Rhinolophus ferrumequinum: one gene and its partners. The protein of the gene in region 3 purifies or fractionates together with the protein of the main gene of each other region. This does not show direct contact. Links are inferred from orthologs where the notes say so. Each region holds a gene or a part of one and is shown on either strand. Other genes may lie near its edges.

Region 1 (6,892 bases), on a different chromosome or scaffold from region 3:
TGACATAGTCCAAATGGCGGAATTAATATTAATGCCAGCTCTTTTGGGGGAATCAAGGAACCTCATTACATAGGAAAACAGGTTTCATAGCAGACTCGACCCTTGTCAAAAATCCGAAGTGTGGCCTGTCATTGGCACCCCAGCCACCTCTGCCCTTACTTCTTCCACCACTCGCCCAACCCACCCCCACCCTGTGTCAGATGGACGGCGGCCCCCCTCCTGGCTCCTATGGGGAAAGTGTGGGGGCGTCCTTTCCAAAAGCAAAGGCCTCCAGGTGTGTGTTAGAGACGCATGCTCCTTCCATACTCCATGGGTCCTCGGAGTCCCCCATTGAGCCCAAAGACCTGAGAGAAACACAGGAGCCACTCCAAGCTTACAAGGAGCGCTGCGGCCCACCCCAGGGCCTGAGCGCTCTGCAGACCAGCGCTGGGTAAACAGGCCAGTCCTCCTGTTACCACACTGACAGGCAAAAGGAACCTCACAAATGAGGATGGACGTGGGTCCTGAGAAGATGGAAAACGGGAACCAACCCGGCCGTGGAGCTATTCCCCAGCTGGTAACCTCCACAGGCCAGTTCTTCAGGTTCCTGAAGCCCCTGTGAGGGCTCCCAGCCACAGGAAGTGGCCACCAGGACCCGAGCACACAAAGCACGCTTCCCAGGACTTGTCCCTGCAGCAGCGGGCAGTGCAGGGGCTACAAGGGGGCCTGACACAGTCCCCATGCTCCCTTCATTTAACAAGCAAGACACAGGGGCCCAGAGAGGCCTCGGGGCTCGAGGGAAACAGTATTTATCACATGATTAAAAAGGAAGGGTGTGTGTGCTCTGGGCACATATTCTCAGTAGGTATGAAAATGTTAAGTCTGAACATGGAGGCACCTACCATCACAGGAAACAGAAAAAGTCTTTTCCAGCTCTAGAATTTCCATGTGTCTGCTGAAATTCCTCATCTTTTTACCCATTTTGTCCATCTTTTCCACTAAGTCATTTGACGTATTTATAATAGTATGTTAAAGGCCTTGTCTTCCAGTTAAAACGTGGGTCATCAATGGTCCTGTTCTAGTGACCATTTCTGGTCTGGATTATGGGTCACAGTTCCTGCTTCTTTGTGTGTCATACGTACTGGTTTTTAAATCTTAACCTGGATGTTGCAGGTGACAGAACAGAAGAGCGTGGGAAGGCTGAGAGGTGTCTCCATCTTTTCCTGTTGGGCATACCTTTTCCTGTTGGGCAGCGATGCCGAGGGCCTGACTTTTTCCCTGAATTATATTTTTCAATATGCTCAAGTCCCCATCTGGCTTCAAATATCTTGAAGGGGAGGTCTGTTCCCTACCTCCGGAGGGGCTTTGGGAGTCAAACATCATAAAACCAGGTCTCTGCTTTCCAGCCCTGTCCTAATGGCAGTGTGGGGTGATTTTCTGTCAGCTTGGTTCTCCCTCCCACTTTCCCATATTTGGGGCCATCATGGACTCAGACCTATGCAAACACACAGCAGCATGCACGCCTGCCCCATGCAGCCTGCATTGACTTCCCTGCAAAACCTTCCAGGGCCTCAGGAACGACATCCAGGGAAGATCTCTTACAACCCCCAAAAGCCTCCATCCAGTTCATTAAGACACCCTGTCATGAAACTCAAACCAAGCTTTCCTCAGTTGAGTTCAGCTCAGAGTAAAACTTCATCAGGAAACTGGAAGCATCTATGACAGTTGAGTTTTTAGACACTTGGGATCAAGACAGCCTTGAAGAGTGACTTTTGGGGGTTGAAAGACTGAGAAACCTGGATTTCAGAAACTGGTATTTGGTCACACATGCCAAGTGTCCTAGCCCCTGCTGTTCAAAATTCCAAATGGTTCTTAAACTAATTTAGAACACAGTGCTGTCTCGTGACCAGAAGGGATTGCTACGTTGTCCCCCTGTAAGCATCGGTCCTTTCTTGTAGCCAGAGCACCCAGTGACCCAGCAGGACAGGGCTGGCCTGGCAGGAATATCCCATGTTAGCACGGGCACCTTACAGCCTGGTCCCTTCACTCGCTGTCAGAATGGGCAGTCTCCTGTGGCACTATTGAGCTTGAGGAATGACTGCTGGGGCCCCCGTGTGCAGTCCCCCACCACCACCACTCCCAGTTCCCCTTCTCAATACACCACATCTGGACAATCATCAGATCAAAGGCAAAGCAGGGCCAGGGAAGTTCGTAACACTGAGCCTCAGGGACTGTTTCAGCTTTGTGAGAATGCAGACAACGATGGCTAGCATCTCTCAAACCATGTCTGTGCCAGCCCTGTTTTAACATGGGCGTCATATCACTGAGTGCTCCACACCACCCTAGGAAGCAGGTACTGTTGTCAATCCCATGGCACAAACAAGGCCTTCCTGTCTAAAACAGCAGAACAGGGCTCATCCCTCTCAAACACACCAGGTTTAACCACTTCACAAAAACACAAAAGAAAGAAAAAATTCTGTATGTATATACATACGAACATATACAAGATGTAATCAAAACACACTGTGACTGCTGCTGCTGAGTGCCATCCAACGGAAAGGCAGAGATCTTCAACACAGGAAGCGGCGCGTCGAACCTTAGTAACGGTGTGTGTGACAAGTTTCAACTTGTTGGTGCAGTCAGTCGGGTGTGAGCTACGGTTGAGAGAAGGTGTGTTTTAAAGTGTGCCGTAAATCATGGATCACAAACAACACATTAACATGAGATGGGCAAAGAGTTTCATCCGCCATCATGACAACGTTCCATGTCACACATCGCTTCGGATATGGCGACTTCTGTCCAATAAAAACATTACGGTGTGTCCTCATCCACCTTATTCACTGGATCAGGCACCATGTGACTTCTGGCTCTTCCCCAAAGTCAAGAGGACCATGAAAGGTAAACGTTATGAATCGATTCAGAACATGGAAGCAGCCAGGACAGCGTAACTAAAGACACTCACAAAAGAGGACTTCCAGGACCCCTTCAGAAAGTGGCAAGAATGATGGGATAAGTGTGTTCGAAAGGAGGGGGAGTATTTTGAGGGGGTTAATAGCAATGTGTCTTTTACTGTAATAATTTTTTTTAAACATTCACTGTAGTTTTTGATCACCCCTTGTATATACACGTGTGTGCATGTGTATGCATATGTATGTGTATATACATATATTTTATCAAATTATATTTTATGTTATATATAAAATAATACACCGACTTTTTTAACTTGGAGGATTACAACTTTCACCGAAAACAAAGCCTTCCATGTTCTCATTACAGATTTGCTGGTGCTTCTTCAGGATCATTACCATTTCTTCTACTTAAACTCTACTAGAAGGGTCCTAATTTTCATAGATGCCCGCTTGTTTAATAGTTGAGGCTTAATCTTTTGGGGCTTGTACATGACACTTCTCTTAGAGTACTCAACCTCCCGGCCTGAATGTCTTAAAGCAGCAATCAGAGGAAACCTGTACAATTACGGCAAAACGTTAATTGTACAATCGAATGGCGCACAGGTGTTCACTGTAAAATTCTTCTCCTTTCCTGTATAGTTCAAGATTTTCACAATAAATTGTTGGGGGGGGGGGGGCAGACTCATCTGCAATGATACCATCAAAACTCGACTTCCCCTGGAAATTTCACAAAAAAACCACTAGTGGGAAAACATCTGCGTGCATGTTTGAAAGCTTATCATTCAGAGCTATACAAAAAAAGAAAGGATCAAGCATCCCACACGCCCTAACCGCAGCCCTGCGGCTTCTAGCCTTCCCCCGCCCACAAAACACACAGGCTAGCCCCGCTCCGAGGGACAGACGAGCGCGGGAGCGGCCATACCTGCGCCAGCCGCCGAGGCCGCTCCCGCGCGCCGGCGCCACTCTAGGTCGGCGCGCGTCGGTGACGTCACGGCGGCGCCGTCCTCGCGTTCCGCGCGCCTGCGACCCCCGCTCTGCGTCCGAGCGGGCAGCCTGTCGACTTAGCGTGGCGCGCGAGCTCGGGTGCCCGGAACCTGTCCACCCGCGGCTGTGACGAGAGAGGCTGCGGGGGCCGAGCGCTGCTGAAGGAGCCGGAAGGTACCGCTGAGCGGCGCCTGACGCAGGCGTCATCAGAGCGCGCCGGAAGCGGTCCGAGGATGAAGAGTAAGGGGTCGAGGGCCGCAGCGGCGGAGGGGTGGGACGGGAAGGGTCGGGCTTGGTGCTGGCGGGTGAGAAGGAGCGCTGCGGAGTCCTACGGGAACCTCACTTCGGTGAAACGGGCCCGGGGCCCGGATAGCCTGACCCCGCCTCCGCGCAGGGTGGATGGCAGAGCTGGAGGCCGGTTCTCTGGGGGCTGCTCAGTGGGGTCTGAAGCTAGAGGAGGGCCCAAGGCCTTGGCCCGATGTGGCCGCTTCCTCCCTGGGTGACCGAGGTCCCCTTCTGTAAAGTACAGTTACTGATAATGGTGCCTTGGCACCTGCTGCTCTGTGAACGACCCTTGTTTGGTGTAGAGCTCTGGGCGCTTGCTGGGCAGTGATACCACTAACGCAAAGCTTCGGGAGCGGAGCGGAGCGAGCACCCAGGGCAGTCACAGGCAGGGGAGCGGAAACACCGTTACAACGGGGCTTTGGGTCAGGACTTTGAGTTCCGCCTCTGCGGGTTCCTACCTGTGTCAACTTAATAATAACTGTGTTAAAGGATTGTTCAGAAAGTGTAATGAGATGAAATATGTGTGGCTTTCAGTGAGTTTCGTGGCAAGTAGTGAGGGCTCAATACCATTAGATGTGTACTGTTACAAAAGCCTCCCAAGTCTAAAGCTAGGCACCTGTGACAGGTGAGGCAAAGTCCTTCCTGGGGCTCCAGGCCCTGTAAGTTGCTCTCCCCATCACAAGGGAGAACTCAACTCCAGACATCAAACTTGCAGCCACTTGGTTTGCTTCATCACATGTTCTCAGGGAAGCACAAGGGAGCTGGGATGAAATTTACAGAGTGTAGTGTGAACCAAATTTTCTATTCTTCTGTCCCTTAAACCAGGCCTTTCTCTCATTCTTACTCTGTTCAGACCCATAGTCTGTCCTCAGTGCCCTAGTTTTCTTCTTCAGACAAATTAAGTAAAAAAGAGGAGTGTGGAAGTTTGTAGAAGTTGAAACCACATCAATGATTGATATACTTTGATCTTGAAGAAAGACCTGTATTTTCTCAGTTTAGGGCACCACTTGTAGGGTACATCCCAAGTTCATAGATAGTAAAATGTGAAAAATCTTTTTTAAACATCTTACACGTAACAAAATGTAATATTGCCAACCACCTGCATCCTGGAAAGCCCTATCATATAACTTTTAGATGAGTTACTTTATTAGACTAATTGAGCAACTTCCCAGGTTTCTAAACTACGGTATTTTAAACCACTGCGACTCCAGATGTGGCCCGCTGACCCACAGTGACATGGAGAACTTGCTAGGAATGCAGGGTGTGGCAGTGGGGCCAAGAATCCACTTTTTCCTAAGAACCCAGAGATTCTTACACACCTTGCTGTTTGAGAAGCCCTGTTTTAAAGCACCCCCTTGGGAGTTCCACGATGGACATGGCCAGAGAGTAGGAGAAGAGGCATCCAAGGGAGTTTTGAAACTGCTCTTTACACCGTGCCATCTTCTCCTATCTCTGAAGAAGCATAATTATTTTCGTAGTTAAAAGCCTCTTGGCTCTTATAGCCGTACCCAACAGGAGTCATTCCGTGTTTGTGCTCTTCACTCCCCCAGGTGCGATCTACCATGCCTTTTCTCAGAAAGAGGCGGAAGAGTTTGATGTTCAGGTAAGGTGGGAGGAAGTCCACCCGGTGGCTTCTAGCCTTTAGTGCTGCTTTAGGTGTCCTTTTCCAGGTCTTACTCCTCACCTTTCCAGTAGCCGTGTTAGGTTCCCTCGAGCTCTGTTATTCTGTTGGCCTGTTTCATATGCTGGCCTCCTTTCCCATCGTGCCAAAGTCAAGCTTGGTTAACTAGGACTTCCTGACCTTGTGTCATCACCCACTATGTAGGGGACGCCAGGCTATGCCCACCTGAAACCTGCGCCTGTGAGCACTGTCATTTGACGTTGTCACTGTGTCCCCTTCACCCTTGAAGAGGGCAGGCAAATCACATTTCATAAGTGGAATTTATGGAGTATACCTGGATGCTGCAAACATGATTTGTCAGTTTGGCACACGCTCCACTGGTGACTCATGATGAGGGAGATACCTCAAAATCAAGATTTTGAAAGACGGATATACTTTTTTTGGCTTCTCCATGAAGGAGGGCCCACAGTCAAATAATTGTTCCCTTACAGAGATAATAGTGATGATTTTTAGTTAGCATCCAAGGTACCAAGCTGAAGCCACGTGCCCTCCCCCCGGTGAGCTCCTTATGTGCATCACACCTTCATTCCCCGCCCCCCTGAGGGGAGGGCTTGATGACTACAGACACAGGAGCCTCGGGGGGTTTGCAGCCTGTGGCCCAGTGCAACAGGGGCCCAGGAAATGGTCCCGCCGAGACACCAGTGGGTGGTGCTCCCTGGGCTGTGGCAGACCCGGGCAGCCGCTCCTGAATGAGGGACAGATTGGAGGTCTCCAGCTCGAGAGGCGGCGATGCTTGGAGTTCCTTCAAGAATTATACACGATTATGACGGTTTGCCCAGAAGTCCTCTCTGAGAGCCACGGTCACATGACACTGTGCTGTATGTACAAGAGAGTGAGCACGGGCGTGGGGGCAGGGCCTGAGGGGTGCTGACAGTTCCTTTCCCCAAGTGATGTGGGAACAGGCTTGGAGAGTAGCCACGATTCATCCACAGAACTGGAAACCCAAGTAAAGGGGATTGCAACGTGGGCACAGTGACAAAACCCCTACCCCGGGGGCTGGGCCCACCCCAGAGAAGGTGGTGTGCCGTTTTCCCGAGTGTGAGGATCATTCCCT
Region 2 (6,930 bases), on a different chromosome or scaffold from region 3:
GCAGGTGAGGGAAGGGGAAAGAAGTCCATAAGGCAGTGAGGAGGATGGAGGAGCGAATGCGACCTTCTGACTCTGAGGTCCAGGGAGGGCCATGTCTGCCCCAGCAACCTGCAGGATGTGGCAGCTTCCCAGGCCCCTGGCCAGGCAGATGGAGAGCTTAATTTTATCCAGATTGTCCCCATAAAGTCTTTACAAGGAATTGGTTGATTGGACTAGAGGAGCAGGAGCTCCTAATGAGCAGTGGCTACTTAACAAAATGCTGAAGCAGACACAATTTTCCTTAGCCACCAGCAGCTCCCAGGCTCTGATAGGGAACCCCTGGATGCCAAAGTCACTTCAGAATGGCACCCCAATTAGGTTTGACTTCTTTGAACATCCTTCTAGGTTACAGACAGCCTAGAAGAGATAGAGACTCGGGTTAATAGCTCAGATTTTGGGGTGAGACAAAAGGTCTTTTTTAGACTGAAATTACTGTGTGATTTTGGGCAAATCATTTCCCTCCCTGAGCCTCAGAGAATAATGATACCTGCCCTCATGGGGTTGTTGTGAAGACTAAATGAAGTCCAATATATAAAGTGCTTACTAGTTCATTGCCTGGCACATAGTAAGAGCCTAATAACTGGTAGTCCCAGAAGATAAAGATGAAGAATAAAGGATCCAGCTACTCTGGATCTCCCTAGAAGGTCCTGGAACAAGGTGAACAATTGTAGTTTCCCACCCCCATCTTATGGGAGCATTTTAGCAGCTGCCAGGACCACCTAGGGAATGCTCCAGATTTCCCAGTCTGTGAAATGGGTTGTGTGATTTATGTTTCCAAATAAGTTTTAAAGGACTTGCCAGAGCTAATATTCAGTTTTGTGTCTGATCCAAAAGGACAAATTGAGCATGGGAACCCTCAGATGGGAAGAAGGGGAAGCGCTCAAAGGAAGTTTCCCAAGCCCCCTCCCCCAACCCCCAATTCATTTGAGCTGGGACCTTCTTCTGAGAGTCCCAGAAGTAACAACAGCGAGTACCCACCCCACTGATCCAGACAGAACCTGTATAGGTTAACAGCAGAGGCTCCCGGTCAGAGATCACGATTAGCCTCATTCTAGCGTGAGTTTTGTTTGTGTCTGCATGAGTTCGCCTCTCTGAGCCTCAGTCCCCTGACTCCCCTGTAAAGTGGGGATAATGGTTCTGTGGCACCACTGGGAGAGAATCGAGGTGACTGACGGTGAGCGCCCCGCCCGCGCCGGGCAGGACACACACCCTTCGCCGCCAAGCGGATCTCACGGCCCCGGCCGCCCTCCACTCCTCTGTGGGCGGATTCCCCGGTGGCCTCCCGCGCCGCGCGGCGGGGACCTGGGTAATTGCAAACAGCCGCCGGCCTCATTAGGAGACGTGTAATTAGCGGCTGGCGGAACCCGAGTCGGCACAGGCTAATTACCGCGGGGAGCTGGCGGCGCCGCCGATGCCACCCGCCCCGGCCGCCGGCTCCGCCAGGCTACAGTGGGTGTCCAGATCTTGAAGGGGACGGCAGGGGGCCGGGCCTGGTAGGAGGAGGGGGGCCCCAGGACTGGCCCACTGTGCTTCCTCTGGGGGCTGTGTCTGGGGGGAGGAGTAGATCATGCATTCAAAAAAGCGTTTACTGTGTACTCCGTGCCAGGAGTTTTGACCACGTTATCTCGTTTAAATTTTACATCCACCAGTGAGGGAGAAACCATTATTATCCTATGGCATAGATAAGATCTAGACATGTGAATTAACTTCCCCCACATCACGTGGCTGGAAAATGACGGAGAGGGGATTCGAACCGGCGTCTCTAGTCTCTCCAATTTTACACCAAGTGGACAAGCGAAACATGGACAGGACATCAGCGGTGTAGCCAAGAACAAGAACCCTGGAGTTGGCTGGCTTTGGGTTCGAATTCTGATCCTGCTTCTTATTGGATGTGTGACTGACTGGTCTGAGCCCCAACTGCATCCCATAAAATGTTGGGATTAAGTGAGTTGAAGGCCGGGAAGTGTTAGGGACGTGATTTTAGGGACAGGAGGGAGAAGGGGTACTCGGAAGCGGCGTCTTTCTCTCTCCACACACTACAGGCCTCTGATGCCCCCTGCTGGCAAAAGGTGAAGGCTGGCAAGATCTTTTTTTGCGGGGGTGGGGGGCATAGTAAGGTGGTTCTTGGGTGAGAAGAAAGTTAAAGCAGACTCTGGTTTCTCAGCAAGGCCACGCTCTCCTGCCTCCCCTCCTCCCTTTCCTTTCTCAGTATCCCTCTTTTAAGGTGGCGAAGAGTGAGAGATGGAAAAATTGAGGACTCATTCCAGATCTTTCAAATAATCAGTTGTGAAATCTGCCTCCGTTCATGGACCTCACAGAGCCAGCCAAGTCCAGGACAGTTCTACAAATAGTCATGGATAGGTATAAAGACCGAGTCACTAGGTTGTGCATCAAAGTGCTGGGTACAACTGTAAAATATGGAACTAATTTAAACGTCCATCGTGGGAATATTGACCAGTTTAATAGTGGTACTTCCAAAGAAGGCAATACTGAAAATGTAGCTGAAAAAAATCAACATGGCAGAACAGTTGACATGAAAATATAGTCAAACAAGAAGACTGAATCTTACAGACTTTATGTTAAATGGAAGGACACACACACAAACACACCCCATGTTGTGGATATTTATATAAAGTTCAAGAACAGGCAAAGCTAATCTATCATGATAGAAGTCAGAATAGAGGCTACTTCTGGGAAGGTTTTTGGGAAGAAGATACTAGAACATTATTCGGTGCTGGAAAAGCTCTCAATCTGGGAGATGGTTATACAAGTCTATATATATATATGCACTCTATATATGTTATACTTCAATGAGACAGGTTTTTAAAAAGATATTCAAGCAAAAAAAAGAGTATTAAATATTATGATCCTATTCTTAAAAAGAAAATAAAAAATACAATTTAACATAGGCAACAGTTCTCAGTTCAAACTTTTTTCACTATCTCAGGACTCCTTTACATTCAAATTATTGAGGATCCCAAAGAGCTTTTGTTTTGTGGAATATGTATATCCATCCTTACCATGAATATTACAACAGAAATGTTTAAAACACAATTCACAATTCCATTAGCCATTAGAGAAATAATGTCCACACGTCTTGTAGCCTCTGGAAAACTTTACTGTCCACTCTAAGAGAGTGAAAAGGGCAGATAACAGCTCAGTGTTTTTATCAAAGTAATTTTGACCTTGAGGGAGTCTGAGAAAACCCAGTGGTCCTTGCATCTCGCTTTGAGAACTTCAGGTATAGGGGGAAAATAACGGAAGAAAACAAACTACATTATAAATTATTCTCGGTGCTGGGATTATAATTTATTTTTGTTTCTTTGTGCTTTTCAGCTTAAAAATCGGAAAATAAAACTCCCCCGGATTGCTTTTGTAAACAAAAAACGAGACAATACACCCGTCTCCCTAAGATTGTTGAAAAACCCAAACAGTAATAACATATTTCGCTGTATGGAAAAAGTAAACCGAGCCCTAACCTGAAAATAAGGGTCCGATTTCCTGTGTCAATTGCTGGCCTGTAAATGCAAGGTCGTATCCTCAAAAGTACTACAGTCCGGGTTGGGGAGAGAATATAAGTGCATACACAACTGTATTTATTACAAGATAATAGAAAGTAAACGTTCCGAGGTCGCCAAATGCAGCAGCTGCATCCTATAGAGTATTGCAAATTCTGGCGTGGAGCAGAACTACCCATCACCGCCACGAACCTCTCCAACACCGAGTCCAACTTCCAACCAAAGCAGCGTGGATCTCAGCATGACGCATGCGCGCTGCAAACGCAGATAGGCGGGGCTTAAAGGAGACTGACACTGGGCTTGGCCTCTCAACATTATAGCTCCGCCCTCTATCCTGCCTCCCTCTCTGAGTGGCTGCAAGACTGCGGAGGCTAACTTCCCATTGGCCACCAGCGGGAACACAGACATCCGGTTTGCGCAACGGAAAGCCGGACGCGGAGATCGCCATGGTGCGGTTCAAGCACAGGTAAGCAACCTGTCTGGCCTCTCAATACAGTCCCTGCCCGGTGCCCACGGCTCTGGCCGCGTGCTCACCTCCCTCTCGCCCGCCGCAGGTACCTGCTCTGCGAAGTGGTGTCTGACGACCCCCGCTGCCGCCTGAGTCTGGATGACAGAGTGCTGGGTGGCCTCGTACGGGACACTATCGCCCGCGTACACGGAACTTTCGGCGCGGCCGCCTCCTCCATCGGCTTCGCAGGTACAAGGGTGCTGGGGAACTGACAGACGGCGAGATTTGGAGGGAACTGGGGCCGGAGGAGGGATGAAGGAGCACGAGCGACCCCAGGGCCTGCCAACCCCTATGCACCATCCTCTGTACGATATCGTCCTGTTCAGGCGTCTGGGACCCCCGAGCCCCACGTCTGGACGAGTCCGAGGTTAAGCGGAGAGAGCAGAAGGCAGTGGAACTTTGGGCAAGAACTCCCTGTACCTGTTTGACATGTGTATATTGGGGAGTACGACTAAACTCAATAGAATGGGTAGAATTCAAGTTATTTGACTGGTTACATTGACAGCACATGGAAAAAACATTCAGAATTACTCCTGAAAAGCCCTTAATAGGGCCAGTAAAGTACAGAACAAATTGTGTGTGTGTAAATGAGGAAGAACAGGGCCTTCCCTACAGCCACAGTATCTAAATTTGTTCCCTTATACCATATGCTCGAAATGGAATCCTGGAGAATTAAATGCACATAGGCACACTTCTCTATCAGGTGAGACAGTTGGCTGCTTCAAGAACCTAATGCTTAGCTGTATTAGAACCTTTTTTTCAGCCAAAGGTTTTCTCCACACGCCCTCCCTATCCCATTCCATTTGAGCTAGTGAATTAAGAGCATTTAAAATTCTAAATCAGCAGCCAGTTATGAGTAGTGTGCAAGGCACTGGGTGTTGTCTATCCCCCTTCCATAAATGAAATTTCCCTACAATTTGTTTTCCTTCTGGAATCTGGTTTTAACTCATTGGTGCATCCCAAGTGCCACTACCTTGAACAGTTTGGGCACATAATAGGCTCTCTGTTACGCTAAGGTTTTTAACCTGCTCTGAGAATCCAGTTCCCCCAAATGTGTTTTTTTTTTCCCTGCTGTAGTGCGATACCTCAATGCCTATACTGGAATAGTGCTTCTTCGATGCCGAAAGGAATTCTACCAGCTTGTGTGGTCAGCTCTTCCCTTCATCACATACTTGGAGAACAAAGGACACCATTACCCGTGTTTTCTCAACACCTTACATGTGGGAGGTAGGGGTGCATGTGGAATGGCTCATTTTCAATAGGTAACAGGTTCAGAGTTGAGTCTTGACTAGTGGGTGGGTCTCCTGCTATTCTGCCAAGAACAAGAAGCCTTCCCCTAGCTCTGAACGTCTTTGAGTCAGACCCATTTCACCAGCTGTTGACCACAAAGCTCTTTCACGTGCCAGGTACAATTAGAACATGTCAGAAGTTCCTAATTCAATACAACAGGAGACAGCTGTTGATCTTGTTGCAGAACTGCACGGATGAAGGTAAGCAATTCTACTAGCCCAGTGTCCACTAAGCAGTGACCTCCAGCTGAATAAGAGGTCACACTCCCAGAGACATCTTTCATCCATGCTGTCCGTCTGCCTTTCTCCAGGAGAGCGGGAAGCTATCCAGAAGTCTGTCACAAGAAGCTGTTTACTAGAGGAGGAGTCGGGAGAGGAGGACCTTTCAGATGGTGGTGAGGAGGCTGCTGAAGCAATGGAGTGAGCCTCTGCAGGCGGCACTGTGCCTGGGCCTCAGGGCCTTGTTGGAACGACATTCTGGGAGGCAGCAGCATCTTCTATAGTTCACACTGGATGACTGCCGATCAGAGGCCAAGTTAGCAGCTCACAATGGCAGACCTATTCACATCAACTGATGTCACCTTTACCTAGCGTTGCCCGGTCAAGTGGTTCTGCAGGTTGTGGACCCTCTGTGGTTACAGCTATCTTTGTTTCTAATTGCCTGACTGAGAGCATGTTTAATAAATTTTATTTGGCTCCTACAGCATTTAGCATATGTACTTAGGAAGGTCATGTTTGGCCAAGTCTCTTCCCTCTACCCTTGGCCTCAGTGAGAAGACTGGCTCCCTATGTGGTACGAGATGCACAGTCTCTCACTGAGGCCTGTACCCCGAGCCCCTAGGACGGGCCCTAAGCAGTCCAGGTCATGTGGAGTAGAAGCATTAATGAGACACAGCAACTGAACTGGCACAGATTTACAGCTGGTCTCAGTACTGACCCACAGAACCTTAAAAATACCAGGTTCCTTGTCTACTTCATTAGGTAACTTGACAAAAAATGCAGTTCTAGCACTTTTCTTGAGGGGAAAAAAACTTGGCTTCACCCGACCATTATTACAAAGCCAAGTAGCAGCTGCCAATTTCTGGTAGTTTCTGTAGTCCCATCCTTCCCTATTGCCTTATACCTGCCTGGCAGCTGCAAACAGGTGAGACTGCCACACTCACAGGAATTAGGAGGGTCAAGAGATTGTGGTTAGTTCTGATCTACCTACTAATGACATTTCTAGGATGTTTTCTTGATAATAAAAATGGATGTCACTCAAAGTCCCTGACACATGTAACAGAGTTCTGATTTTTTCTTCAATGCACCTCATCTCAGGCTAGAACACCCTCACTCACCCAGGAGAGTTCCTGACGCAGGATTTCTGAACCTTTTCAACAAGGACAGGTTAAACCTAAACCCAGCTCAAGAACCCTTTATTTAGACCTGATGACCCTAGAAAAGACATTACTCCGTGACAGCAAAATTGCTCACGCTCATAGTAGTTATTGCTTTAACCTATTTAAGAAGTTTATCTAGCTGACCTGTAATGAACTTTAAAAAAACAGAAAGCTCACATTGCTTGTGCAGGTGATTT
Region 3 (8,004 bases):
TAAGTAATCAAAAATAGAATTTAGGAGACTGAACTTACAGGCAGACTTTCATGTAGTGGTGCTCAGAGGGATTTTTGTAAACTATTCTTTCATATGTGGCAGCTGGGGCTGGCATCATTTCCATGCTGATTACACCTACGTTGTGTCAAGAGGGTTAGAAATTAACAAGGTACAAGCTACTTTTCACTTTGTTAATGAGAATTCGACCTATTTGATTTTTTAAAGAACTCCTAAGGACTGTAACTCATTTAATTCTGGTCAAACTAAGGTTGCCCATACAGACACAAAGGAAGTTTCTATATTTCATATATGCCAGACAAGTGTATTATTTAAATTCTAATAACATAACCCCACCGAACATTTTCCCCTACTGAGTACCCAGCTCTGTGCTAAATGCTTTACATGCCTTAGGTCATGTCTTCAAAATGATCCTATGAGATAAAAGCTATTATTATTTCCATCTTTGAGAGGAGGACATTGAAGCTTGGCAAAGATAAGGAACACCTGCGCAAGGGAACAAAGATTCCAACCACTCCTAGCGCCTTCATGACCCTCTGGTATGATGCCTCTTAATCCAAAAAAGTAAAAACATAAAGGAGTAAATCTGGGATCTGAAGGCCCTCTTCTTGTTTACTCTCAGCCAACACAGAACATGAACAGAACGAGGGGTAGCAGTTCTGCTGACTGGATCTGCAAGTTCTTTCCATCAGGCCAGGTCAACAGAGGGCTATGTGGCAGCCCCATGAAAGACTGAGCTTAAACAGCAACGGGTTTGGGGCGAGGAATTCCTGGGATGGGCACTCCATGCCATTTCTAACAGATCTGCAACTTTCAAGAACTCAGAACACGCTGCTCCCCCTGTAGAGAATCCCTGTCCTTGGCTCCATTCCCACTTTACTCTCCCTTTCCATAGTGCCTCCTCATCCTGCGAATTTTAGCTTACAGTTCATTTCTTCCAGGACTTTCACCTCTTCAGGGGAGCCTTCTTTGGCACTCTGTTCTGTTAGGTTCCCTTGTTATGCAATCTCTTAACATTGTCTATTTAATACCTAGTCCCCCCACATAGGAACCAGGAAACTGAGGCACTACCAAGGAAAGGGACTTATCCAAGGTCACATCGCTATAGACCAGCATTTGCAAAATCCTCTGGTTCAGGCCAGTTCCGACCACTCCTAGATAGTGACCACCAGAGAAAATGAGAAGTCAGGGTAAAAGAACTACAGCCAGCCATTCAACAAACGTGAATATTTACTGTGTCTGGCACAGAGCAGGCATTCGACCAACTTACTGAATACATGACTGAATGACAGAGGTGTTAGGCCTGTACGTTCAAGAGCATCTTTGGTTTCAGGACTGCGGCAATGGTTACCAACCACTAGTCTCCTGTGACTAGAATGGCAGGGAGAACAGGACTCAATCATTTCATTCATTGCCTGGCACATGATAGGTGTTTTTTAAGTGTTACCGACTAACTTGCCAGAATTGGCTGCCTGAGGTAGGAGAATGAGATTAGGCCTGGGGTTTAGGATGCCAGTAACAATGAAGATTTACAGAGTATTCTGGAAATGGATAGTGGTGATACTTGCACAATATGTGTACTTAATGCCAAGAAATTGTACATTTAAAAAAATGGTCAATTTTGTTGTGTTTCTCACCCCCACACACACTCAGACTTAAGGAGCAAGTGTTGAGCAATCACCTCTCGCTGGACAAGCCTGAGCCTCAAGGTCAATGAGAGCACTGCCCTCTGCGGGCTGTCCTGAGACTTAAAAAGACGGATGCCTGGGAAGCCCTTCCTACAGCCTGGCATATTCACCAGGCTCACCACAAAAATGTGGGCACTTCTATATAGTCATTGCCGTCGTCACCTTTGAAATCAGCCTTTTAAATGGCTACAGACACACTTTACTTCATCCGTTAGTAACTGCTCTCCCTGCTTCCCTCCTCTAACTAGCCTCTACTACAGCCATCGTGAGCCTATTAAAACCTATTCGAGTCACGTCATTCCTCTACTCAAAACCTTGCAATGGTTGCCGTTTCCCTCAGAGTAAAGCTCAAGTCCTTACAGCCGCCTGCCTGCAAGGCCCTACCTGATCTGCACCTCGTGTCCTGCCATTTCCCCACACAGGCCTCCTAGCTCTTCCTCACACTGCAGTTTCCCTCTCGCCTCTGGGCCTCGCTCCCAGCTTCTCTGCGTGCTGGAACATTCTTGCACCAGGTAGCCAGCCAGCCACATGGCTCACTCCCTTGCCTCCTTCACGGCGTCGCTCCAATCTGACCCCTCGATTTGATCCAGTGTCTATCTGATACGGCACCCCCTCCCACCATGCTCCTACTTTACTCTTCTCACAGCACGCACCACCTTCTAATATAACTACGTAATTTCATTTGTTTGTACTCCCCATCCCAACAGATGTACACTCCACAAGAAACTGGGATCTGTCTTGTTCACTGTTTCCCAAGAACCTAAAACAGTGCATCGCACATAGTAAGCACTCCATATGTAAATTTTGGACTAAATCAATGACGTTAAAAATAAAAAAGCTAAATCCCCTACTGTTGCGCACTTAAGTCGTTTTCAACTTTTTTCGATTAACGTCCATTTGGCGTCCAGCTGGCGCCGAGAGCATGCGCTCAGCACCATTGTCACAGCCACGCTCTGCTTCCGCGACCGCCTGGTACAGAGGCCTGGGAAGGACCGCGGCCGGGCCTCGCCTTCCAGCCGCCGGGTCCTCCGCGGAAGCGGAAACCTACCTCAGGCCACCCTGCGCCGCCCGCCGTCACTCTCGTCTTGCGCATGCGGCCTAGGCCGCGCGGCCTGCGTCACCCGCCGGCCGACTAAGCCCAGTCCCGGAAAACAGCCGCTCTGCTATGGGCTTCCGCCTACCCGTTCTTCGCGGGACTGCGCTGACGCCTCCCTGACTCCTGTTCACTGCGAGAATCCGCCAAGGCCTGGAGCTCCCCTGCAGAGGCTTGAGCCTGAGTCCGGGAAACTCCGGGGAGGTTCACGTTCGGCTTTAGTCTGCCCGCCCCCCGGATGCGTGGCGGCTAGGCGCGGATGTGACGTCACCGCGAGGAGTCCTCCTAAGGACCCAAGAGTGAGTCCTTCTCAGGAGCCGGGGCCTGCCGAGCTCAGTACCCTCTGGTGCCCACTCCGGAGAAAACCGCGTGTGCAAATGTCTGCATGGGGTACGGGACTCAGGGCCTGTTTATTTTCCCAGGAAGCTTGCTTCATAGTCATTCATTTATCCATGCAGTCGTTCATTCAGTAAATTTATATCGAGCATCTCTTCTGCTGGGCATCTATGTCATTACTCACCAAGGACACGACCTGCTCTCAATGTCTCTCGTGGCTGACAGCACATAGTAGGTGTTCGGTCGGCTGGAGTTGACAAAAAAGACCCAGATGGTCCCATTTACAAATGTAAGCCAAATTTCATCTACGCATTTATTCATTAAGTACTTGCCGAGCTCCTTGTATGTGCTAGATACTGAGGATTCAGCGGAGAACAGAAAGGCTTCTGTACTCATGAAACAGCTCTTGTATTTAATAATAACAATAATAACAGCTAGTATTTATCAAGTGCGTACTTTGTGCCAGGCACTATGCAAAGAGCTTTATATATGTTACCTCACGGAGCGCTCACACTATCCTAATGTAGCTATCCTTGTGATCATCCCCATTTTACAGAGGTGGAAACAGGCAAAAGAGGCTCAGTGCCTTGCCCAAGATCACACAACGGTAAGTGTGTCATTGTAAAGTGGGCCGTCTGACTCCAGATGGTGTTCTCCACACTGCAGCATGGTATTACCACCGATCGTGTGGGATGAGGCAGGGAGTATTTGGGAGAGTGGCTGGGGCTGCCAGAACGAATGTAAGCACCGTGGGGATGGGCCCGTGTCTCCACTGGCTTACCACTGCCCCTCAGAGGAGACAGGACTTGTTCCAGATTTCAGGAGAGGTTGAGGAAATCAAAACAGACCCCACAAACAGTGGCATTTTCTTTCTCAAAAAAGCATGGGTTTCAGATGCTGCCAAAATTAGCTTCAGATTCATCATCTATCACATGGAGAGATGAATAGCATCTACCTCAGAGTTGTGAGGCAAAAAAAGTGGTGTAAAGTATCTGGCACCCGGCAACACTCTGGAATGGAAGAGAGTTGCCTAAATCAGCTGCCTGGCAAATCCATCCTGCCAGGCTGCAGCCCATCAAAACCAACGCAGCTCCTGTATGAGGTGTAATCAAACAATACGGCAAATGTTTAAATAAAAAAAAATTATTACAGTAAAAGACACATTGCTATTACCCTCCCCCCGCCCTCGCTTCAAACCCATCGTTCTTGCCACTTTCTGAAGCAGTTCTGGAAGTCCTCTTTCATGAGTGTCTTTAGTTGCGCTTTCGTGGCTGCTTTGATGTCCTGAGGCATTTTGATGCCGGGCAAGAACCAGAAGTCGCACAGTGCCAGATTCGGTGGATAAGATGGATGAGGACACACCGTATATTTTTATTTGACAGAAATTGTCATATGCCAGAAATGATGTGTGACATGGAGCATTGTCATGATGGAGAATGATGTATGGCACACTTTAAAACATCTCTGAACTGTAGCTCACGCCCGACTGCAGGGAACAAGTTGAAACGTCCCACTGTTACTAAGGTGCGACGCACCATTTCCTGTATTGAAGATCCCTGCCTTTCCGTTGGATGGCATTTGACAGCAGCAGTCACCATATGTTTTGATCACATCGGAAAGGCGCCGTGTCACACATTGCTTCTGGTAGGGCAATTTCTGTCAAATAAAAACAGTACGGTGTGTCCTCATCCATCTTATTCACCGAATCTGGCACTGTGTGACTTCTGGCTCTTCCCCAAAGTCAAAATGACCATGAAAGGTAAACGTTTTGAATCGATTCAGGACCTTGAGGCTGCCATGACAGTGCAACTAAAGACACGAAAGAAGAATTCCAGAACTGCTTCAGAAAGTGGCAAGAATGATGGGATAAGTGTGTTCGAAGTGAGGGGGAGTATTTTGCGGGGGATTAATGGCAATGTGTCTTTTACTGTAATAATTTTTTTAAATTTAAACATTCACCGTGGGGTGATCAGATAGCTTAGTTGGTTAGAGCGTGGTGCTGGTAACACCAGCGTTGCCAGTTCGATCCTTGCATGGGCCACTGTGAGCTGTGTCCTCCTTAAAAAAATAAATAAGTAAACATGAATACATAAATAAACAAATATTCACCATATGTTTTGATCACACTTTATATTTTGGACTTCAAAGAACTTGAATAATTTTCACTCTCCTGAACCAAACCCTGAAAATGAAGTGCCTTTCACACCGCCTGAATCCTCTTAGTGCTGTCAGAGTTTGGGATAAAATAGTTGGTTGACCTTTGTTTTTCCATTCAATTTTATTTTTTGAGTAGATACTTGAGGCTTTCGGCATACATTTCAAATGGTATAAAGGGATAAGCAATGAAGAGTAAGTCTCCTTCCCACCCCTTCCCCATGAGCAACAACTAGTATGAATTTCTTAAGTGTCTCCCCAGAGATATGGTAGGGGGTGCTTTCCCTTCTTAACAAGGTATCTTAATATTATTCCAAATCAAAATACACAAGACTGCCTCAGTCGTTATAAAAGTTGCCCAGCATTGCATTGGGTGAAGTCAGTTGGCTCAAACGGGGCCATTCTGGATACTCTCTGTATCTGACATTTCAGAGCAAAGTTGTTGGGAAGGATCTGCTCGTATTGATACAGGAAAGTTAGCATGTCCCTAGGTTGACAGGGAGGTCCCTGGTGGAATAAACAAAAGACAGCCATATCCTAAAACTTCAGGTTTTAAAATCACTCCTTTGCTCTAGGACATAATGTAACAAGGCCCTGAGGTTAATCATAAAATTCCTTTTGGCCTGACAAATGGAGCAGATCTGATAGATAAGAGTGGATTACTTTGCTGATTCCTTTAGGATGGGTAAGCAGAACAAACCTGGTAGACGAATTTCATTAGAAGGCGCCAGTTCCCTTCTTCAAACAGCTCCCCTTCCCCAAGCAGGCAAGGGACGGTATAAAAGTAAGAACTTTTGCCTCAGTCATGGGGCACTCCCCATTCGGGACCCCCCTCCCACTCCGGAGCTGCAACCTCTTCTCCTGCCTCTAATAAACTATCCTCTTTTTAAAACTTTTTGCTTCTCCCTGGTCCGTATTTCCATTCTTCGGCTTCACGCGACACGATCCCGGCCCACACTCAGAAACTGCTTTCAGATCCAACATCACCTGCATCAGTTTTTTATGCATCTGGAAGCTATGGCAGTCAAGAAAGTGATGAGTCCATACTTCCACCCGCGTGGCTGTTGTCAGCTCCCCTCCCTGCCTTGTGAACTGGTGCCAAATGGATTTTGCTCAAAGTTGAGGAGCGTTCACAATTTGGGGGAAAAAGGCAAGAGAGAAGCCCGAGTAGGATGACAGTCCCTTAACATTCACAGCCACAATTCTCCATCAATCACACGGGAATTGTATCCATTTATGTCAGCAGCCTGTGAAGATAGGACAAAGGAAGTGAAAATGATCAGACATTAAAGGCTATGAAACTGCAGCTGTTGTTTCCATTTAGGGAGACCGGCCAAGTGCTAGACAGTTTGCTCACATTATCCCATCTACCCTGCAATGTCACTATTATTATTGCCTTTCACAGATGAGGAAAAGTAGCTCTAGAAGATAAGTCATTTGTCTAAGGCGGTGAGAGGCCCTAGAGCCTAAAATGCTGTATTCCATCCTTCCCATGTGAACGCAAGGCTGGGAGCTGCTCTTTTGAGGCAACCCGGAGCATTATCACCAAACGGGAAGCTTTGAAAAGCAGCCAGTGCGTCCGAGGCCCTAGAAGCCAAACCTGAGACAGGGATCTCCATGGAAGTTATTTTTTGGGGACAGCTATTTTGTGTGAAACCCTTAAGGGAAGAAGGAAACAGGATGGGGTAGGGGAAGAAGCTAAGCAAATGAGTTCAGCTGCAGTCTAGCTTTAGCCTAATCCTGCAGGGGAGCCCTAGAGCATAAATGATACCAGAAAGCTTCCAGCCTTGGAGGCAAGGAGGCCAAGCCTTCATGCGCAACACCCCTTCCCCCCCACAGTCAGTCATTGACTGCCAGCTATAGGGTTGCCAGATTTAGAAGAAAAAAAAGATACAGATTGCCCAGTTAAATTAGAGTTTCAGATAAACGATGAATGGGATAGCCTTACACTAAAAAGGTACTCATTTATCTGCAATTAAATTTAGCTGGGCGTCCTGTATTTTATCTGGCAACCATAGCAGGTGAGAGGAAGTGAATGTGGCATATCTCTCAGGTATCTCCAGTCATCTGAGGGTGGTTCTTCTGGGGGAAAGGGCAGCTGTGAGCCCTCTGCAGCCAACACCCGCAGAGGTGGGGGTTGGGTGCAGGAGTCAGTAAAGGGACCTGGGAAGAACATCAGCAGCACCCACTATGGGCAGGGACTCTGGGGGCAGCTCACCAGTCAATTGTAAAAACGACCAGCAGCTCTTGCCCAGACTCTTATGTCCAAAGCATCCTCAGGATAGCCTGGTCCCCGCTTCCAGCCCCCTCCCTAGCTGCCTTCTGAGGACGTTTTTTGCTCCTGCAGTCATTCTCCTGCTTGTGTTGGGGCTAGAGATGGAACTGGGCTATTTAACTTCGTTTCATCCAGCATTTTTGAAAGGTACTTACTTAAGTAGTGGAGGAGCCTTTCCTCTGAAGTGAAGTTAGAAACCTCTCCCTTAAAGAGGCCCCAGGACCCCAGGAAAGGAGAATTTGGAGAGGAGATAACCACCTGTACTTAAGCAGCTGTTTTTGGAGGGGCCCAAGATCCTTTCTTAAAATTCAGAGATCCTCTCCTAGCAGGTTCCCTACAAAGCAGTCCACCCCACCCCCACTTTGGAGGACTTTGCATCCTTATCACAGGAACCTGGGGGATCTGTGGGTTCTAACCAACAAGAGCCCCAAGATATAGAA
Region 4 (6,892 bases), on a different chromosome or scaffold from region 3:
TTTCCTTGTAAAATAACTCTTCTACCACTTTCTACCTCATTGGCATTTATTTGGGAATCAGAAATTCACCCCACAGCTTAATATTCCATTTTTGGAATAAGTCAGTCACACTCTGGAACAAGCACCAGTGCCATCCACCTCCAGAGATCTTGAAAGTAGTTTAAGATCTTTTAGAACCTCCAGAGAAATCTTAATCTTTCCCATTTCCTTCTAGTCAAGCTTTTTTTTCCTCAAGTACCAGCATTGAAAATAAAGTTTTAAAAATTATTGTGCCAGCAAGAAAAGGAATGAAGTACTGATTATGTTGTCATATAAATGAACCTTGAAAACATTGTGCTAAGTGAAGGGAATCAGTCACAAATGTCTATTTATTATGATTCCATTTATATGAACTGTCCAGCAAAGACAAATCTACAGAGACAGAAAGCAGATTAGTGGTAGCTTAGGGCCTGGAGAGGACAGTGGGGAGGGTAGGAGGGTGATAGCTAAGGGTGTTCCTTTTTGAGGTGATGAAAATGTCCTAAAATTGACTGTGGTGTTGGTTGTATATATCTGTGAATATACTAAAAACCGTTAAATTGTACACTATAAATGAGTGAACTGTACAGTATAGAATTGTGTCTCAATAAAGTTGTTTTAAAATTTTAAAAATTATTATGAACTATTTCATACATTCAAAATTATATATATACATACATATATATGTTCATATATCCTGTACCTGTCACCTGCCTCATAAATACAACTTCACTGGTTTTGAAGACACGTGCGTGTCCTTCCCAATACAACCCCTTTGTGTTCTGCTTTTTCTCTATATTGAGATATAGTTGACATATAACATTATTAGTGTTCTGCTTTTAAAATACTCCTTCATTTGTACACTTCCATGTACTGACATAGCCTACATAGTTGTCATTTTTAATGTTTGTGTGCTTCACTGATTTCCAACCAGTCAGAGGGAGGACAGCTGAGGAGAGAGGAAATATCGTCTGACTTTGCACCTTGAGCAGAACTTCTGAGATTCAAGTCCTCTCATGGGGTGGACCATGGAGTATCGTTGGGGGCCATTCGTTTTTTTCCCTTGCAGCTGCTAGATCCAGTTTCCACTCTGTGTGCCATCAGAGGGCGGTTTTGTTTTTGTATACCAATAAGGGTCCATTTGTGGTGGCTGCCTGGAGTCCTGCACTGGAAAGAGCGCTGAGGTCAAGTTCAGGTTCGGCAGGACGGAAGCCTCTGATTTATTACAGGCATCTGCAAGTCAGTTCCCAGCACTGACGTCACTGCTACTCTGACTTGTAAGGAGGCGATGTTAAATGCATCCAGGGCGGTGCTGGGCACCAAAAAACAGGACTTAGTCACTCCAGGAGCTTCTGAGCTGAAGAGCTCTCTCCTTCCACGACTGCATATTGCTAGCTATATTTCCACATATATTTATAGCACTGCAATTGTGTTTTGGATTTGCACCCTGACCCAGGAATTAATTTATTTAAAAGAGTATTTCAACGTTTTCAAGGAGTTGAGCATCTTTAAATTCTGGTTATTTCTAATTTTATTGCACTGTAACCCCAAAATGTGGTATGTAAAATTTTTGCCCTTTTAGATTTACTAAGAATATTTTTATGTTTTTTAAGAATACAAAGGTATTTTTATTTCTTTGCAAGTCTGTTGACTTAGTTTTTAAAAACAAAATCATTTTGTTACTATATAGTGTGTGTATATATTATGGTTTTGTTTCCTGTGCTTTTTTCCCTTTTTTAGCCATTTTTTTTTCTGGCCCTTCATTCTCTCTTAGAGTTTTCTTTCTATGCCCTATGCTCTAGATCTAATACCTGTTTGTCAGTTAAGGTTGCTTTCAGTTCTAGAAACCAGGAAATCTGACACACAATAGTATGAACAAGGCTATGGTAGGAGGCCACAGAGGTGGGCGGGGACCAGGTTATCTAAGCTTTTATGCTACTGCAGTGAGAAGCCAGTAGCAGGTTTAAATGGGGGGTGGAGGGAGGTGGCATATATCATGTTTTTCATGTGTTCAAGAGATCATGCTGGGTGCTGAGTGGAGAGTAGACTGTAGGAGGGCAAGACAGGAAGCAGGGTCAGGAGGATGTGCCTGGCAGCAGACCAGAAAAAGAGGAAGGTGGCTGAAACTGGTAGTAGGAATGGAGAGAATGAAAAGAGACTGCAATCAGGATGCATGTTGAGGCAGAGCCAACAGAGGATTGCATATGGGGTGTGAAGGGAAGAAGAGTCAGGCATAACTCCTGAGTGTTCCCCACAGGGAAGAGAATCCAGGCAGTTTTCAGCATATAGATGTATTGAAAGCTGAGACTGCAGGATCATTCTGAATGGTCAGGCAGGGAAGAGAAGGGGGCTGAGAATCACTAGAGATCTTCTGGTGGAGGAGCAGGAGCAGGAAGAGGAGCTGAGTAAGGTGTGGGGGAGATCCAAGAGATGGAGGGGGTGGGTCTCAAAAATCCAGAGGAAAGTGTTTCAAGAAGGAATATTTTGAAATGTACCCAGGGATCATTACAGACACAGAACTCTGGGAAGGCAGGCTGAAAGGACTCCTCAGGCCCAAATTTACTTGAAGCTACAGCTTTAATCTATAAAATAAATGGACTTTTGCCTTCTGTTTCATAATACAGGCACACCCCGCCACAGAACAAATCCTCAAATAATGTATCCCTGGAAAGACACCTCTGTGTTTTGAATACCCAAACTACATAGCAGGTATTTATCGCTCAACACATTTTTCAGCTGTATATATATATATATATATATATATATATATATACAGCTGTATATATTTATATATATATATAAAATTTATATTGAGTCTTCAAAATTTAATAAAACTTAGTTTAGTGGCTTGCTAGAAAAGCTTCATCTTGCTCCCAAATACAGAATCACACTATACTTTGCAAAGCTTTGGAGTATCAACAAGAGATGAATATATCTGACGTGGCTGCTTTTGGAAAGGCCACTGATACTTAATTGTGACCAAGAAGCAATGTTTTAGGCATTTTACATCCAAATATATTTGTAGCTTATGTCTAGGTGCTGTATTGTGATTTAGGAAATTGGTAGATTTTTTCAATTGACTTGCTATTCCTTATAATTTTTTCCATTGAAAATAGGTTTTCCTTATTTTTTCCAGAGACAGCCTGACATTTCAGGCACAGGTTACTCACAACTGGCAAGGGATCTTCTAGCTTTGTCTTAAACTTTTAATACTTACCTTGTAAATTACTTAACTTGGGTTCTTCCAAATTTTATAGTCAAATTAATGCTCCAGAAAGTTGTACCACATATTCTACTGTTTGGTATCCTCTCTGCACAGAATTGGGGCTGTGCATACTTCAGTTTGAGAAGCAACTAGTCAGGTAGTACTTGAAGTTTATCAGAAAAATTAAATGGAAAAATAAATTATTACTGTAACCCCAACAGCAATAAATACTAAGAGGTTCCGGAAGGATAATTAAAAAGGGGTCTTAAAAGTGGTTCCAAAGGCGTCTTAGTGTAGTGCGGAAAACAGAAATTGGGTATTACCTTCCTAAACAAACTTCCTAACAGTTTAGGAAAGAGCAAGGTGGGGGTGGCGCTCATAGGGAGGATTTATGGCGAGACAGAAGTTGGGAGGGATGGAGGGTTTGGAGAGAAAGGTGGCTTTGGAATGACAAGTTCCATGTTCCCAGGTACCAGGTAATTCCATTTGACTCAGCGAACTTACGGTGCCAGGTACCCGTTAGTGAGTTTCTACTTGGATCCCAAAGAAGCCTGGGGCAGCCGGCACCGCCAGCTCCACCCCGACCTGGGGTCGGCCTCAAAGAGCGCCGCCGGGCCGCACTGCGCATGGCTCAGGGGCGGGGCGAAGGGAAGGGGCGGCGCGCCAGGCCCGCGGAGGTTCTGTGGCAGGGAAAGCATGGCCACCCTGCGCGGGCTGAGAGAGGTACCCCGGCACTTGCTGGTCTGCGAGAAATCCAACTTCGGCCACGACAAGTCGCGCCACCGGCATCTTGTGGAGACGCACTACCATAATTATAGGGTGAGTCGGGCCGCCCTCGGCTCGCGAGCTGGAGAGGCTTGAGAGGATCTGTACTCCGCTCTGCGTGGCGGGCCCGCCCTCGGCGCTGGGGGGCGGGGCCCTTCGCCGGGAGTGCTGGGAGCTGTAGTCTCTAAACGGGTCGGAGCTGGTTGCTGGCGGACCAGCCGGATTACAACTCCCAGGATGCGCCGCGAGCGGCGCGGTATCGGCCCTGGGGGAGACCTGGGCGGTGTGCGCCGGTAGCACGTTCCTCCCGTCCCTTCCCCGGCCCATTTGCAGAGCATCCCGGGGAGGGATGTGAGGGGCAGGGCCGCGACTGTTGCGAAGTGCAGCCGCCGGCCGGCCTCGTACAACTCGCTTTTTCCCCACATCGAAACCAGACTCGCCTCTTCCCCACCGCCTAATTCCTTCTCCCACCCGTGTGCCTGTGGATTTTTCAGAGCATCGTGCGGAGTCTACGCCCAGATAACGACTTGCTTTTCTAAACTGCTTATGGAAACTGGATTGATAGCTGAGAAACTTTCCACTTTGCCTGCCTGCTGCCCTATGTGTACTCAAGACACACTGTGCTATTTCGGCAGCTTTGGGGAGAAATTCGCTGTGATGGCCCCGCTAGCGAGCACAACCAAGAGTTTTAACAGGGTGGTAACAATGGCTGTTGTTGCTTCGTGAAAATGTCACCCTCAGGGGTGCCTTTTCCTCAGATGTGAAAGTCGAGGCATCTCAGTGAGGTTAATTATTGGTTTATCCAGGATCTGTTGTGAGTGGAGGAGAACAACCCAGATTCCCAGTCAAGTGTCTATAGGGCTGTTTTCACCAACCCATTTAAGTGGTGAGACCTCCAAAAAAATCAATCTCAAGATGATAATGGTTTAAGCCTTTAGCACGTTAAATTGATCAGCCTGATCAAAACTCAGGCCCGACTGGCCTGTTTCTCAGAGACTCAAGTGCTGACTCTGGCCCTTCCGGGACAGACTGGTGTGTCGGCAGCTTTGGGAGAGTGATTTTCAATGTGTGGAGCCTTGGGCAGCGTGTGAAACCCGTTAGGTTTTAACATCTCCGCTTTGGATGGAAAAACTACTCACAGATAGTAGTCAGGGACGTATGCCTTAACTCGCCAGGTCTGATCTGTAGAATTTTTCTGTCTATAAAATAGAAACATCCAGTAGCACTTCTGCTTCCATGTACCCTACTAATAATTGGTTCTGAAGAGGTAAATTCCTTATGCTCTAAGAGACATTTCCTGTGATTCAAACCCGCGACCAGGATAAACAAATTTAGGGATATTCAATTGTCCTATTTTCCCTAAAAATTAGTAAAAGGAACAGGACATATTTATAATGCTTCTTTGTAAAAAAATAAAATACTAGCACGACATTTCCATTATTTATTTGTTTTTTGGGGGTCATTCTCCTTCCTATACGATATTTGAATACAGAAATGAAAACTTGAATTGTCAGGTGTTTCTTTTCTTGAGATTGGTAAGTTAATTAATGAGAGTTTTGTAGAAATCTCTGGCGGTATAGTTAGCAGCCTTCATGATCTATATCATCGCTAAAATCCTGGGTGTTCAGCTACGTGAAAATAAAACTTGTTTATATTACACATTCCAATAGGTTTCATTTCTGATTCCTGAATGTGGTATACTGTCAAAAGAACTCAAAAACCTGGTCATGGAAACTGGATCCTATTACTTTGTGAAGAATTTACCTGTTCATGAGTTAATTACACAGGAATTCATCAATACCTTTGTAAAGAAAGGTAAGAAAAACCATGCAGTGTCTGTGAACGTGGCAAGATGAGGAAGTATGGTTAGATCACATCACAACACAAGGGTTTTTCTCTTGTGTTAAATCGGGCCTATGGAAATAGTCCGTGTGGTCAAGTGCATGCATTACTCTCCCCATTCCTCAGTATTCTTGCCCTGCTCTTCCACATGCTTTCATTAGGTGGTGGTTTCCGATGACATTTGTCCACAGGTGTTGCTTGGGGTTATTGTAACATGAAGGCATCCCTCATCTTAAAATAAAGATTAGTGAAGAGGAAACCCTTTTGATCTGTGTATTCAAATTCGGTGCTGTTGGGTATGTGCCTCCAAAGAACAGTATGCTCCCAGTACCATGTTTCCCGGAAAATAAGACCGGGTCTTACAGTAATATTTGCTCCAGAAGACGCATTAGGGCTTATGTTCGGGGGAATGTCATCCCAAAAAATCATGCTCGGGCTCATTTTTTGGTTAGGTCTTATTTTCGGGGAAGCACAGTAGTTCCCACAACAGATATCTGAAAGGTTGGTTTCGGATAGCAGCTGTTCACAGTGGTTTGGTGTCTTCTGCTTAGACTTGGTTCTGAAGAGGTAAATTCGCACCCTCCTCTGCTCACCCCATTCCCAGTCGTGTCTGGTGGGTGGATTGGATTATTCCAGTTGTTTCCTAGGAGCCACTTGTTTGAAACTATTTCAGAAAATCTTTCGGGATCGCACCCTCACACCGCACGTTACTGCACTTATAAGTAAGCAAGCCACTTACTTAGCTTGCGGTCAGACCGTGTTTTCCTCTCCAGTGGAGAATCCTAGTTCCTGGTAGCTCCTCTCACTCTGATGTTGCTGGGGCTGCTTATGAAGCTGGGCGTCTTGTCTTTGGTCTCATCGACATTGTTCCTTTCATCTGTTTTGAAGTTTGATGCTACTTTTTTAATATTAATAGTGTGGACACTGGCTATAGTAGGCACTTTTACATATCTTACCCAATTTAAACCCTTGCCACAACTCTATGAAATATGCCTGTGATCCCCATTTTACAGGTGAGGAAATTGAGGCTGGGAGAGATTAAGTAGTTTTCTTAACTTCTCA

What was found.
Region 1: the proteins of RPP14 (region 3) and POP4 purify together in Homo sapiens (affinity purification with mass spectrometry; 3 studies listed by BioGRID and IntAct, counting the BioPlex papers as one, with this or other methods). This does not show direct contact. The link is inferred for Rhinolophus ferrumequinum from reciprocal best matches to the Homo sapiens genes RPP14 and POP4.
Region 2: the proteins of RPP14 (region 3) and POP5 purify together in Homo sapiens (co-immunoprecipitation; 3 studies listed by BioGRID and IntAct, with this or other methods). This does not show direct contact. The link is inferred for Rhinolophus ferrumequinum from reciprocal best matches to the Homo sapiens genes RPP14 and POP5.
Region 4: the proteins of RPP14 (region 3) and RPP40 purify together in Homo sapiens (co-immunoprecipitation; 3 studies listed by BioGRID and IntAct, with this or other methods). This does not show direct contact. The link is inferred for Rhinolophus ferrumequinum from reciprocal best matches to the Homo sapiens genes RPP14 and RPP40.

Annotation. Positions count from the first base shown.
Region 1 is NC_046298.1:2,073,914-2,080,805, reverse strand, and holds the start of POP4 (ribonuclease P protein subunit p29), read left to right. Parts: upstream 1-4,105; coding exon 4,106-4,112; coding exon of another isoform or gene 4,113-4,200; intron 4,201-5,707; coding exon 5,708-5,760; intron 5,761-6,892. Other genes in the region: uncharacterized protein LOC117034730, read right to left, coding at 2,478-2,633, 3,811-4,200. UniProt on the Homo sapiens protein: Component of ribonuclease P, a ribonucleoprotein complex that generates mature tRNA molecules by cleaving their 5'-ends.
Region 2 is NC_046308.1:13,276,930-13,283,859, reverse strand, and holds POP5 (ribonuclease P/MRP protein subunit POP5), read left to right. Parts: upstream 1-3,919; 5' UTR 3,920-4,003; coding exon 4,004-4,023; intron 4,024-4,111; coding exon 4,112-4,254; intron 4,255-5,142; coding exon 5,143-5,292; intron 5,293-5,471; coding exon 5,472-5,555; intron 5,556-5,665; coding exon 5,666-5,778; 3' UTR 5,779-6,643; downstream 6,644-6,930. UniProt on the Homo sapiens protein: Component of ribonuclease P, a protein complex that generates mature tRNA molecules by cleaving their 5'-ends. Also a component of the MRP ribonuclease complex, which cleaves pre-rRNA sequences.
Region 3 is NC_046300.1:52,911,009-52,919,012, reverse strand, and holds the start of RPP14 (ribonuclease P protein subunit p14), read right to left. Parts: upstream 3,022-8,004; 5' UTR 2,888-3,021; exon of another isoform or gene 2,755-2,887; intron 2,749-2,754; exon of another isoform or gene 2,558-2,748; intron 136-2,557; 5' UTR 125-135; coding exon 39-124; intron 1-38. UniProt on the Homo sapiens protein: Component of ribonuclease P, a ribonucleoprotein complex that generates mature tRNA molecules by cleaving their 5'-ends.
Region 4 is NC_046292.1:88,848,638-88,855,529, forward strand, and holds the start of RPP40 (ribonuclease P protein subunit p40), read left to right. Parts: upstream 1-3,876; 5' UTR 3,877-3,919; coding exon 3,920-4,042; intron 4,043-4,095; exon of another isoform or gene 4,096-4,773; intron 4,774-5,658; coding exon 5,659-5,803; intron 5,804-6,892. UniProt on the Homo sapiens protein: Component of ribonuclease P, a ribonucleoprotein complex that generates mature tRNA molecules by cleaving their 5'-ends. Also a component of the MRP ribonuclease complex, which cleaves pre-rRNA sequences.